Drosophila melanogaster: one gene and its partner. The protein of the gene in region 2 purifies or fractionates together with the protein of the main gene of each other region. This does not show direct contact. Each region holds a gene or a part of one and is shown on either strand. Other genes may lie near its edges.

Evidence for each region.
Region 1: the proteins of disp (region 2) and dlp purify together in Drosophila melanogaster (affinity purification with western blotting, with the first as the bait; one study listed by BioGRID). This does not show direct contact.

Annotation. Positions count from the first base shown.
Region 1 is NT_037436.4:14,630,913-14,635,891, forward strand, and holds the start of dlp (dally-like), read left to right. Parts: upstream 1-1,688; 5' UTR 1,689-2,160; coding exon 2,161-2,470; intron 2,471-4,979. Other genes in the region: RecQ5 helicase, read right to left, coding at 1-906, 969-1,071.
Region 2 is NT_033777.3:5,850,145-5,858,279, forward strand, and holds the start of disp (dispatched), read right to left. Parts: upstream 6,168-8,135; 5' UTR 5,765-6,167; coding exon 5,609-5,764; intron 5,208-5,608; coding exon 4,200-5,207; intron 4,139-4,199; exon of another isoform or gene 4,069-4,138; coding exon 3,977-4,068; exon of another isoform or gene 3,960-3,976; coding exon of another isoform or gene 3,252-3,959; exon of another isoform or gene 3,188-3,251; intron 3,166-3,187; coding exon 2,623-3,165; intron 2,551-2,622; coding exon 1,912-2,550; intron 1,728-1,911; coding exon 747-1,727; intron 615-746; coding exon 377-614; 3' UTR 1-376. Other genes in the region: CG34287 (uncharacterized protein), read left to right, coding at 3,252-3,959; ECSIT, read left to right, coding at 6,527-7,756. UniProt on the Drosophila melanogaster protein: Segment polarity protein which functions in hedgehog (Hh) signaling.

The DNA of each region.
Region 1 (4,979 bases), on a different chromosome or scaffold from region 2:
CATTTTGGGGTACATCCCAGTGGATAACGAAGCGCACACTTGGTTTGTCCACACCCATTCCAAAACTATTGGTTGCACATATAATGGGCTGATCACCCCGCATCCACGCTTCCTGGACTTCAGTACGTTCTCCTGTTTTCAGACCAGCGTGATAGGCTACTGCTCCGATTCCCTGTTTAGTTACCCCTATCGCCATGCGCTCCACTTGGTCTCGAGTCCGGCAATATACGATTCCGCAGCCTCTTTGTGGCTTGGGTGTATCCTTAAACTCCTTCGGATTGCCCAAGCAGTGTCTGGCGAAATCTGCCAGGTGCTGAAAGTCATCTTCGATAGAATTCTTGTAAACAATGTCATAGAAGAGGTTTTTCCTGAAGCTAGGAGTGCTAAATTGAGCCACGGGTTGGTGGAGGCGCAACTGCTTATATATATCCTCCTTGACTTCCCTTGAAGCTGTGGCAGTCAAAGCCAACCAGATGACGTCGGAATATTTGGAACGCAGCTCCCCCAGCTTTAGATAGTCCGGTCGAAAGTCATGTCCCCATTGGCTAACACAATGCGCCTCGTCGACTGCAAAGTAGGCAAGCTTATTGTGTTTATGGAGGGTTTGCAGCAGGTCTTGAAAAAACTTGGTGGCGGCCTGTTCCGGGGTTATGTAGAGAAACTTCAGGTTGGTTCTCACGGCCTTTAAGTCCATTATAACACGATCCCTTTCTTTGGTGCTCATCTTGGAGTTCAAAGAATCCGCCGGCACTTTCAGTTTGGTTAAATGATCTATCTGATCTTTAATCAAAGCCAAAAGCGGAGAAAAAACAATGGTTATTTGATTCTCTGACATCAAACCAGGCAATTGGAAGCACAGGGATTTACCCGAGCCCGTGGGCATCGACACATACACATCCTGCTTTTCTGTAAGAGAATTACGAGAGGTATTATCTGCGAGATTGGGTAAGAATTTGGCCAATATTCACTTTTAACAGCGCACTTCACGGCTTTTTCCTGTAGATCCGATTTGAATTTCGAGTGGCCAAAATGCTTTTTCAGCGCCTCGTGCACAGCGCTTTCATGCGCCATACTTGGGCTGTTATTTAAATTGCGTTTTATTTAAATAAACATTGTTTTGCTTCAGACCAAAACTGGTTGCCGCCAAAACAGCTGGTTTAGAGATGAACAATGCGGCTAGATAGTGGCTTTCGATAGTGTGGACCTTCCTTTATCGATGTCACATATTTCGAATAAATTTAGATGTCCACACTATTTGTTTTGTACACAAAATATTTTAAATGTGATTAAATAGGCATTCATCTCGCCTATAAGCGCGACATGGAAGTTTTACTTTTTGTGATTAAATTATTCAAAAACCATTTAGCTTACCAACCAATTAATAAATATACAGTCGTGTGTTTGCAAACAAAAAAAATTTATGGTATGTATAATTGTATATGTATAATAATTTATATGTATGTATGTATTAACAGGACCAATCTATTTCTTGTAAAACTTTCGTTATTTTATTTTTAAATTTCACAACTTTCTAACAAACGTTTCCCAGAATGGAATTCTCATAGCCTAGTGACACTGTACATACCTAAAAACGGTGTAAGGCGATAGACATCGATAGCCGCGGTCACCAATCGATAAGCGCAGGCTGAAAAGAATCGACGGTAAGCAGTCGAAATTCAAAGAGACTTCTCAGTCAAAATTTTATAGCCGACTCGCGAGCACGCGCTGTGCTGCTTCTTCCTGCGTTGCGCGCTTTGCTTTCAATTCGCCTTTCGTCGTCGCGGGTGCGTGTGTGTTGGAGCGAGTGCGTCTATGTGCAGTGCGTGTGCCGCTATTTGTTAATTGTTAATAATCCCGATTTAATAACACCCGACAACCATGTTGCACTTCAATTGCTTCTGAACGCAAAATGCGCACTGATAAACGCAAACGACAAAAATAAGTTTCATAATAATAATAATGCCGGCAAACAAAGCGGTGTATTAGTGTGCGTATTTCAGTGTGGGTGCCTGCGTTTGCCAAAATTATTTACCGCAAAAAGAACAAACACAGTCAAAACGATTTGAATCCCAATCGAAACTAAACGACAACAAACGCCGGTGAAATTAGCCCTGTCTCTCGCTCTCTCTTTCCCCTTAAAATAAAGAAAGAGTTATCAAAATGCTACATCAGCAGCAACAACAACAACATCTGCATTGCAGAAGAAAAGCTACAGCAACAACAACTGCCCGCCTTGTGATATTCAGCAGTCCTCTTCTACTATTACTACTCACCACCCACTTGCCGCCCACCTTACAAGCGGACAATGGCCCCGCCCCCCAAGTGGCCGCCCTTGCCGCCCCCAATCCGGCGGGTGGCGTAGCAGGGTCTTCGATCATCGATCAATTCAGTCCGAATTGCAGTGCTGTGACACACATTTTCCAAGCGAGAGGAATCGATGCCATCGAAATTCCCCAAAAACCCAGTAACGGTATGTCCGATATTATATACCAATGGCTTAATAAATACCTGTCGAGAAATATTTATTATTGTAAATATTTAAATTTTAAACAAAGTTATAATTACTTCTTGTGGGTGAAATGTTCAGATCATAAAAATTTTTTTTTAATTTTGAAATACGCTTTAAGTGAAGGATATTAAAAAAAAAACTTAAAGATATTTTCAAGAACTCTGGTACTTTAGTAGGCTTATTATAACTTATTGCCTTCCCATATGGTGTCATTCAAATAGTACAAATTTTAATTTGTAGCGATGTTTAAAGTGCGAAATGGTTGAGGTAGTGCCATTCTTAATGCAAAAAAGATAAGAAAATCCATATCGTGGCAATCAGATCTTTTAAAATGTATACTTACATTGATATATGTAGTATGGAAAAGTATGGTTAGTATGGAAAAATGGACTATAATCTTTAATAAAGTTATTTAATAAGCTTAAAGACCATATTATTTATCCAATGGAATTAAAAACTCAAAGCAACTAATATTGGTATTACCCGAAAAAGAATCCGTATATTTCATAACAATAGTAAATTGCCGGAGATAAGAAACAAGTTTGATTCGCAAAGGAACAAAGAGAACTCGTGTATAAATTGGACGATTCCGTGATTCATTCTGTTCCTTCAACGCGCCTGCAGAGCTCCCTCCACTCCCTCCGCCCCCTGAAGGAAATAAAATTCCAGGCAAATCAACTCGAAATGCGAATAAGCAGCAGCACAAGACAGGCTCTAAATAAGAGAGAGTCCGTCGCGGAGAGCGTGTCCATCCCAGAGATCTTGGCGCATGCGTCGCCTGCTCATCGCAGCCCCCATTTCTGCCCCCGGTCCATTCCTACCCAGTGGGGGCAAAGGGTTCCAGTTTCCAAGACCAGTCCAATAGGCAGGAGCAGCCGCAGCGAAAAATCTCAAGAAATTCCTTTTTGATGAACAAAAAAAGGAAATAAAATGAGAAGAGCGCGGGCATACAGTAGAGCATCGTTGGCGTGAACTGCGTGAATTACCTTTTATATGTTTATGGGATATGCTATAAGAGTTATTTAAAACTGTTAAGGATTTCTTAATTATTTCTATTTTGAGATGCCATGTTTTACAAAGTTTACGAATCTTTTAAAGATATTGGACTGTGGAACCCATTTACAGGCTCTTTACCTAGTGCAAGAGCAAAAATGTTGTCACACCGCTTTTACACATAGTTTAATGGGGTATAAGGGGTGGAGAGGGGTAGACCTAGCCTCGACCTCGATCGCCTGTGGGTTTTACTTAATTTGTATAAATCCTGAATTAATCACGCTTAATTGCAATAAGTTGCGCTGCCCTCTCTTCGTCGCCTTCAGTTTCTCTCCCTCTCTCTCTGTCTCTCTTTGTTTGATTTGTTGCCAGGTAAACTGTTGCAGCCTCTGCCCTTTTGCCCCACCCCATACCCCTGTTCCAGTCCATACCCCTGCCCCTCCTTTAGTCCTCTACCTGCGCCCTGCCTTTGTTTATTTTTGGTTTTCAACGTTGCCTGATTGGTTTTTTTTCCCTCCCGATATGTTTTCCTTATTTTTTATCTTTTGGTCAAATGCATTGCGCGTTGCGTTGCGTTTCGTTCATAATTTCATGGAAATGTCTGTGGGGGAGGGGGGCGATGAGGGGCCAACAGGTAGAGTGGTCAGTTCTCGAGTTCCCTTTTGTGTTGTCTTTGATATTAATCAAGGTGTCATTGAAATCGTTTAAATTATGCAGTTCAGGATTTTTATTCTCTGTCGGCATTTTTATGTGAACCTTTTACTTCCCGATCAACTCGAACCCCCGTCCCTTGGCCATCAAAAAACGAATGCACTCGAATTATTAAAGCTAATCCGTAAATAATATTTTAATAAGTTTTTCTGGTCCAGTAGGATTGCAATCAATAAATAATTCAATTTATGTTGACGTATTAACATTTTATTCATGTTCATGTGATTGTTATTCAGTGCTTTTCAAACAATAAAACAATTAAATATTTAAATGGAAAATTATTTATAATAGGACAAATTTTAATAACAGATTTCTTAAATTTATGCTAAGCTAAAATGCCATTATTCTTTACATTTAATTTTTCCCAGTGCACAGCTTCTCTTTCCACCGTGTGAGTCATAAATTCTTGTGTTGCGTCCTCTCTTCTCGTTCGCTTCTTTCCATTCCCTTTCCATTCACCTGACCCCCACCCTTCGCGCCTTGTCCGCCTGATAAGCGCCAGCATTTAGATAAAGTTTCCGACCTGTTCTTTTCCCATGCCTTCTCGAATTGCTTAACTGGGAACTACTTTTGCGATAGGTGTTTATAGGGTCTTCTGGATGGAGTTTCGTGGTTTTGTAGGCCAGCTAACTGGTGAGGCTGTGCGTCTGATAAAGCTAAACTTCCATTTGCGATAGGTGAACTAGTTTATGAAACGTAGACTTTTTGGGGCCAACATATTGTCGTAGGGAAGTTCTTCAAATTGACTAAGGTTGGTCTTCGTTGA
Region 2 (8,135 bases):
ACCCAGTACCTCCCGCTAATTGCTTCAGTTTACAAATCGTTTTCACTTGGCTGGAGCATCGAATGTGAAATGTCACAAGATAAAAAAAAAGCATAAAAGCATATTGCAATAGCCTGGAGTCTTTTGAAAATAGCTTTGCCTAATCCTACCAAGTACAATTACACATATATCTAGAGTATATCAATGTAGAACTCGCACAACACGTACATATGCCACCGCCAGCATATTTTAAAACTAAATATGCCGACACACGGCGTGTATATGTATATATAAATGTATCTCGGGCAGGCTTGAGAGCCGCCGTACCCTGTATAAAAATGCAGTTGCCTGATTCTTCTTGGCAACAACAACGCGTTGTCCGGCAATAGTAACTAACTCAATTGGATGTAGACGGATACGTTTGATATTTGCACTCGTGCATCGTCTGGAATGAGTGCTCGAAGTCCCTCGGCAGCGAGGACAATGCGTGGGCGCTTTCGATGCCCGAAATGGTTTTGATCAGGCTGTTGGAGTTTAGGGACTCCAGTTCGTGCGTCTCCGAGTTCGCCAACTCAACGATGGCCGAGCTTGTGGGGGTCAGCAGCTGCTCGCTGGCGATCACTTGGCTGGGTTTCCTGCACAAAGAAATTCGAGTTTTAATAACCGATAACGGGTAGTCACCCGTCAGTCAGGCTTGATAAAAATGACATTAACGCAAAACAGAGAGATATAGAAAATTGAAAGGGTCAATACGATAAAAGCCTTACCGCTCGTAGAACTTGCTGCTGCCACTGCTTCGCTTGCTCCACAACGGCCACTTGAGTTCCAGAAAACCATGCTGAGGACCGGCAACCCGAAGCAGACTCATTAGAAAGAAAGTGGCATAGAACCAGCTAACGATCATGACAACGACCAGGAAGACGCCAATCTGTATGTAGGGCAATATGTTGGATGCCATCATGATTCCGCCAGCTAGACCAGTTGTGGTGGCCGCCATCACTGTGGGTCCAATGATGCGGGATAGTACAAACTGTGTGGCTGCCAATCTCTCCTTAACCGGGGACATCCGGTAGTGAATACCGTAATGTAGGCTAAAGTCCACAGCCAGACCGATAGCCGTGCTCACCGCAATGCTCTCCAAGATGTTAAGCTGCCAGCCGAGCAGGATGAGCACAGCCACGGTGTTAAAAATACTTAGCGACACGGTTAGTACGGCGTAGATGGAAATCAATATGTTTACGGTGAAGCATAGGAGCACTGCAAGTGATGCAGCCATGGCCAGACAAATGGCAACAAAGGTGTCGTGCGAAAGGGTGTCCTGCACATTGTAAAATTTCAGGTCGCTCGTGAACCATCCTCCTTGAAGTTCCGGCGGTGCCGTTTTTAACTGCATCTGAAACCAGTGCTCTACAGACTCGTAGAACTGCCTAATATTTGCGTAGATGGTGCTGTAGGCCACGTTGGACTCGAACTCGATGACCAGGGCTTTGACTAGTAGCGGTGTAAATGATCCGTTGGTGCTGTACTCTGCACTCTCATTTCCACTCATTCCTAGGTAATCCTCAGTCTCCAGTCGGGGAGCCTCTGCAAACTTGGGTCCTGCCACGCCGGGCCGGAAAAATGTAGTGTCATACATGTTGGATATGCTTTGTGGCAAGCAGTACTCAAATATGTGCGGCTCAAAGGGAAACTGTGCGTCACAGCAGGGTGAACGGTCTTTCCTGGTACTGTCCATATCATCGATGCATCTGAACAACATGAACAAAAGCTTCTATTAATGATTGCAAATTGTATTGGTGTCTCTATATCTCCTGTCTTAATCCATCTAAACCAGTTCCAGCTTTCAAATGTAAACAAAATCGATTTTTCTGAACCCAGTTTTAATGAGCTTTCTAAGCCATTGTAAGTATGTATATAATTGTATATGCTCACCTGCGCTTCATATAGTCGATAAGATTTTCAATGAAACAATTGGGCAACAGCATGCCGAGAGTCTCTTTGTAAAAGGGTTGCTGGCGCACACTCTGGCAAAAATCAAGGATCCAGAGTTGTGCCGGCCTGCTGGATACGTTAAAATTATTGTCATAGTGCAGGTGGCCGTATGAGTTGGGGTTCGTATAGTCGCCGTCGTCCACCGCTTGAACGCCCCAGACGAAATGCATGTGCATCTTGAAGTTCTCGTACGCCTGCAATGGTTTCTCGAACCAGAACTGCTGCTTGAGACTGGAGTAAACCTCAAATGGATGCTTTGACACAAAGAGCTGGAAGTGTGATTTTTCCGGCAACTGAAGTCCTGGATACCAGAACACAATGACGGCACTGGACGCGCCTAGAGCCCCAAAGATCAGCAGCCAGAGATAGGCATAGTTCATGATGCTTTTCGTGATGCACTCCTCAAACATCTGACAAAATCGGTTAATTGACTTCTTGCAGGCGTGGATCAGCTTTATTGACATCGGATGATGGCAGGACATCCTTGTGGCAAATAGTCGTTCCATGATGGAGACCGATGCAGGCAACCAAGTTATCATTAGTAAGTAGTTGGTCACCACGACAGTTCCCGCAAAAATCCTAAAAATATAATTTATTAAATGAGCATTACTAAATATTAAGATTCATCTAATCTTGCTTTTATTAACTTACCCAAAGCACTTTATAGCTGTTATAGAGCTGCTGTAGGAGGCATAAAAGGCGCCGGCGGTGGTAAGTGAGGTAACGAACATGGAGGCAGCGGCATGTCGCATAGTCAGCGCCATTATGTTTTCCAGTGACTCCGTGTGATCACTGTTCTCCAGGGTGGGAAGAGCACTCTGGGACTGAGTGGTCAAGGTACATCGATTGCTGAACCTCTCGGTCAGCACACAGTGCCAGATCTTAAGAAACAGAAATACGTCGTCTGCTCCAATGCCAATTATTACTACCACGGCCAGAAGGTTCATATAGGGGAAGAACTCAAACTCCAGCACGATGGCGTAAAAAAAGTACGCTAGTCCTAGCGAAAAGCATATGGCTACGCAGGACATCAAGGTGATGAATGCCGATCCCGTGTACAACCACACGCTAGCCATGACGAATGTCCCTCCCAGCGAAACTAGCCACACGTCCGTCAGCAGCAGCTCGTTAAAGAGTTCGTTTTCGAGGCCCAAGTCCATCGCAACCACTTCCACAAGCTCGTTGATCAGCTCCCTGAAAAATCATTCAGAATATTATTATCAAACAGAAAACATCAAAAATATTTTTAAATAAAAGAAAAATACAAAAAAAATTGCAAAATGGATCCAGTTCAACGGGAAAAGGAATTAATTAAAATGGAATTGCCAAGGACGAGGGTGCTTGTAACCACCAGCAGAGCGGATTATGTGGATCATACTGAAAGAGCCGTTTACAATCCCCCGATTAAGAAAACCCAAGAGGATCCCTCTCTAATAAGTGGTCACTACTGCGCAAATCTAAAGGTTGGTGGCATTGAATATAAAACAAAGACATGGCCCCAATCAATGGACTGGCGGGAGGACTACGCACAGTTCATCAAGCGCAACAAGTGGTGTAACGAAAGGATCTACAAGCTATTTTTTATGTATCCGCCTGTGGATTTCCGAATTCTGAAGGACTTTGTGAAGGACCTTCGTAGATCGGTGTACATGAACGATTACTCTCGGAATGACTTCGTTTCTTTTGTAAGTCGACGGCGCTATAGGAACAAAAAAGGTTACTCTCTCAAGGACGAGGACTATCGGACCACATATGGGTGCTATTACAATTTCCTGCAGGAAACGGAGCCGTTTAGGAGCTCCTTCTATCCAGAACGTAGGCTAAAGGACACTACTCTGGACAAAATCGCCAGCGATTTACGAAAAATTTTCACAAAGTACAACTTGACCACCTATTTTGATACCATATGCGTTCCGGCCTTGATGAAAGCTAAAAATAATGTAATGCCCTCCACACCCATCGACCGGTATCAATTTCGCAAATATTAGCTGTGCTCCATACTTACACGTCTTCCCATTCGTGGAACAGTGGCAGCAAGCGGTTGGATTGCGCCACGGGTATAAAAATCATGGCGTATTTCAGGTATACATTCGAGTCCTACAAAAAAAAAAAGTGCCAATATTATATGGTCGAATTTAATGCAATACGAGTAAAGCAACGGACAAATACAAATCTGTTTTAATAAAAGAGTTTTGGGGTCTAAGCTTATTTTAAACTCAATAACTTACATTAGACTTGATGAAACTAAAGTCGGTGAGAAAATTCAGGACGTTAAAGACGATATTTAGCCGCTTGCACTCTTCAGGAGCACGACAATGCGGTATTTCGTTGCAGTGGTTGTCCATCTTTAGGTCATGGAAGTACTCATAGCAGCCCAAGAGCAGCGTGTGCAGCGAAGTAACATCCTCCGTGGTAAGGTCGAAACAGGAACTTTTGTTGGCCAGCATGGCGGCGTAGTTGGGCAGTGACCATGGCCGGCAGCACTCGGTGGTAAGCATCTCCGGCTCGCAAAATGCCCGGTAGCTGGGGACTTCGGTAATCTGATCCTGCAACTGACACATGGCCAGCAGTCCGTTCAAATCAAATAGAGAATCGGTGGCGTTGGGACCGATCCGCTGGACCACAAAATGAGAGTACTCCTTCCGGGGCGATGAATCGCAAAAGAATCCCTCGATGGGTTGGCGACGATGCATGTCTGCCCAACCGTCGGTGGGCAAGGTGGCGGCTTGCTTTAGGAGCCGCCAAGTGCTCTTCTTGGTCTGCACCCGCTGCTGATGCTCTTCCTCGTCCACTGAGGTGGTGTTGTGGCCATATTCGATTTGCTCAGTGCGTCGCGTGGGTTCCAAAGAGGAGGAAGCGCTGTCGTTTGTAATCTCGTAGTCGCGAAATACTCCACTGTCCCCGATCCAGGTGTCAAAGCCGAGATTTGGAGAGGGAGAACTAGTAGCCTTCAGCCGTTTTTTGAACTGCATCATCTTCTGCGCCACATCGTGATGCTCGTGGCTGCTTTGATTTTGTTCCTTGCGTCGCTTGTTCTTGTTTCTGTTCTTGTGCTTGTTTTTGCGTCGCCTGTGATTCGGATGCAGCTTCGTCTCCACATAGCCCTGCTCTACCCGTCTCCTCTCCCACAGATCCGATGGATTTGAGAAAAGAGCACCATGGTGGTCAGTCTCTTGCAGCAGGTTGTACCAGGCCGTCAGTCGTTCTCCAATTTTGGTGCCGCGGGTTTCGAAGCCCTAAAGTGAAATAAATGTTGAATCATAAATATTAATCATGACAAATAATCACATTATAAAGTGATCAAATAAGTCATATTAGTGAGAAATTAATCTTATTATTTTCCACAATTTTTACAACAATAACATAATAACAATGAAAATATAATACAGGAATAGTTTGTATACAAGTAATCCTGTAGTTTCTTATAGCAATTCTGTGAATATTTAAAATATTTTAACTTCTTAATATTTAAAAAAAATAGATATATAACGAAATTTAAATAAAATAATATCATTTAGACATTTTCGGATTATTTCCATGTGCTCAATATTTTAAAAAATAATTGTAAAATAAGATAAGATATATTCTCCAAATATCAAGCAGTGAACATGTTTTGGACAAATCTAATAGGACAAACCAAGGTGGGATCACTGAAGTCCGGCAGCTTGTTCAGGACGAGGGCCACGATGATGCAAGCGACACAGTAGACAGCAATGGAGACGACCACCAGGTAGGGACGCCTGGCCAGGACGTGGTAGTACCAGTTCATCCTCTCCGAGTCGAAGCACAACATGTCAGTAGAATGTGATGCCCGAATCCTCTTTACCCTCTTCGCATTGCGGGAACATCAAATGCTCCTTGGGTTTCCGCTTCCCTTCAGTGCATCCTTGGCGGCTGGAAGTCTCGAATAACGTTGGGCTGGTGGGTGCTCCTTGGGACCAAGCCAAAGTCTATTGTTTTGCTTCTGTTATAGATACTGCCTGCTGGTCAGGCCTCCGCCGCAGAGATCGGCTTGTTGGATTGCATTTTTATGTAGGCGCGCGCCCGTGCAAATAACTCAGGGTTCGGAACTAACTTAAACAACAGAAAAACAACCGAAAACTATGCGAATAAGGATAACGCAGAAAACGGTGAAATAACAACAAAAAGCAGCACAAAGGATACACTGAGTTAATACAGTGTTGAGCAACTCAGTCACCAGTGATGATGGCCCTAAGCCAGACAAACAGCTGTTCTCCGAAGGAAGAGATTCGTGAAGGTAGTCACAATGAGCTTATGCAATATTCACTTCAACTTTTGTTACTAGCGTATGACTTTAAGCGTGTATTACGGTCATGACACTATTTAAGCTTGAAAATCTTTGGGTACAGCCGAAACTAAATACAATTTTTCGCCCTAGAATTTACCAAATTTGGCTAAATACGCTAGACTATCGGCACTATTAAAACATATGTTGCAGCAGCAGTGCTGCAAAACGCGAACTAGTTCCGCAGCTTGTGCAATGTTTTGTAATCGTATTTGCAAATTTATTCAATTAATTAATTATAAATAAAAAATGCTGCGCCGCGCACAATGCCTGCTCCGGCTGCACGGCAATGGAGGCCATTCGCTGGTCAGCCGCTTTCGAAACTACGCTACGGACGAGGGAAATCCGAAACAGAACCCGAATCCAAATCCCAGGGCACAAAAACCCGGCACCAAAAACCTGCCGGCTTTAAGGAACCCCTTTGCCGCCGCCCAGGACAGGACGAAAAACAGCTACCTGACCATGGTGGAGATATTCCAGGAGCGCGACGTCCACCGTCGGAACCATGTGGAGTTCATCTACGCGGCACTCAAGAATATGGCGGATTTCGGGGTGGAAAGAGACTTGGAGGTCTACAAGGCCCTGATCAACGTGATGCCCAAGGGCAAGTTCATACCCACCAACATGTTCCAGGCAGAGTTCATGCACTACCCCAAACAGCAGCAGTGTATCATTGATCTGCTTGAGCAGATGGAAGATTGCGGGGTGATGCCCGATCACGAGATGGAGGCGATGCTGCTTAATGTGTTTGGCAGGCAGGGACATCCACTGCGCAAGTATTGGCGCATGATGTACTGGATGCCAAAGTTTAAGAACCTATCACCGTGGCCACTGCCCGATCCTGTTCCGGATGATACATTGGAAATGGCCAAGCTGGCGCTAGAGCGGATGTGCACGGTCGACCTGCGGTCCAAAATCACGGTTTTCGAGACCAGCGAGCTGAAGGATGCCATTGACGATACGTGGATCGTGAGCGGAATGAGTCCCGAGCAGGAGAAACTGCTGCGGGAGCACTCTCGCCAGAAAGCTCTGTACATCGAGGGACCCTTTCACATATGGCTTAGGAATCGCCGGATCAACTACTTTACCCTGCGCGCTGATGCAGATTCTGAGTTCCTGTCTGAATTAGATGAGCGGCAGCTGGACGAGGACGATGTCTCCCACATCGAAGTACCCTTCTTTGGTCGTGCTCCACCAAGGCGACACAACCAGCTGGGAAAGCTGCGCTCTGTCCACCAACAGGACGACGGAACCATTATGGCCATCTGTGCCACAGGCACCTCCACAAAGGACTCATTGCTCTCGTGGATTCGCCTGTTGGAAGCGAACGGAAATCCCTCCATAGGAGAGGTGCCCGTCCTCTTCCGGTTCACATCCGAAGTGCCAGCCAAGGCGGAGGAAATTGAAGGTGGCGCCAGTGTCCCGGCAACAAGTGATAACAGTAGTCAAGATGAGCACATTAGCAGTAGACAGAAATAAACAAATTGTTGAGCACTTTTTCGTCTTTGTATACCATAGAATTGATGGTAAATGTTGCTTAAAGTTAGTCGGTTTTGATCATATGTACATATATATGTACATCTGCTAGAAGGAAAAAAATTAATACTTCGGTAATTATTTATACTCTTTGGCTCGGACGCGAATTGAAAGCAACATTGTATGCATTTTGGGGTGGATTTTAATGAAATAAGGTTAATTGAGAAGGATTACTCACAACATCCGATTGTGAGCCGAGCTTAAACGAAAAATCACAGAACCCGAAACTAAGTGTACAGAAGATCTGCCTAAGATTTAACGCCTCCCTCTAATTGCTAATTAAGTATATGTACATGTCATCTTTGTTTGAGATATATAGATA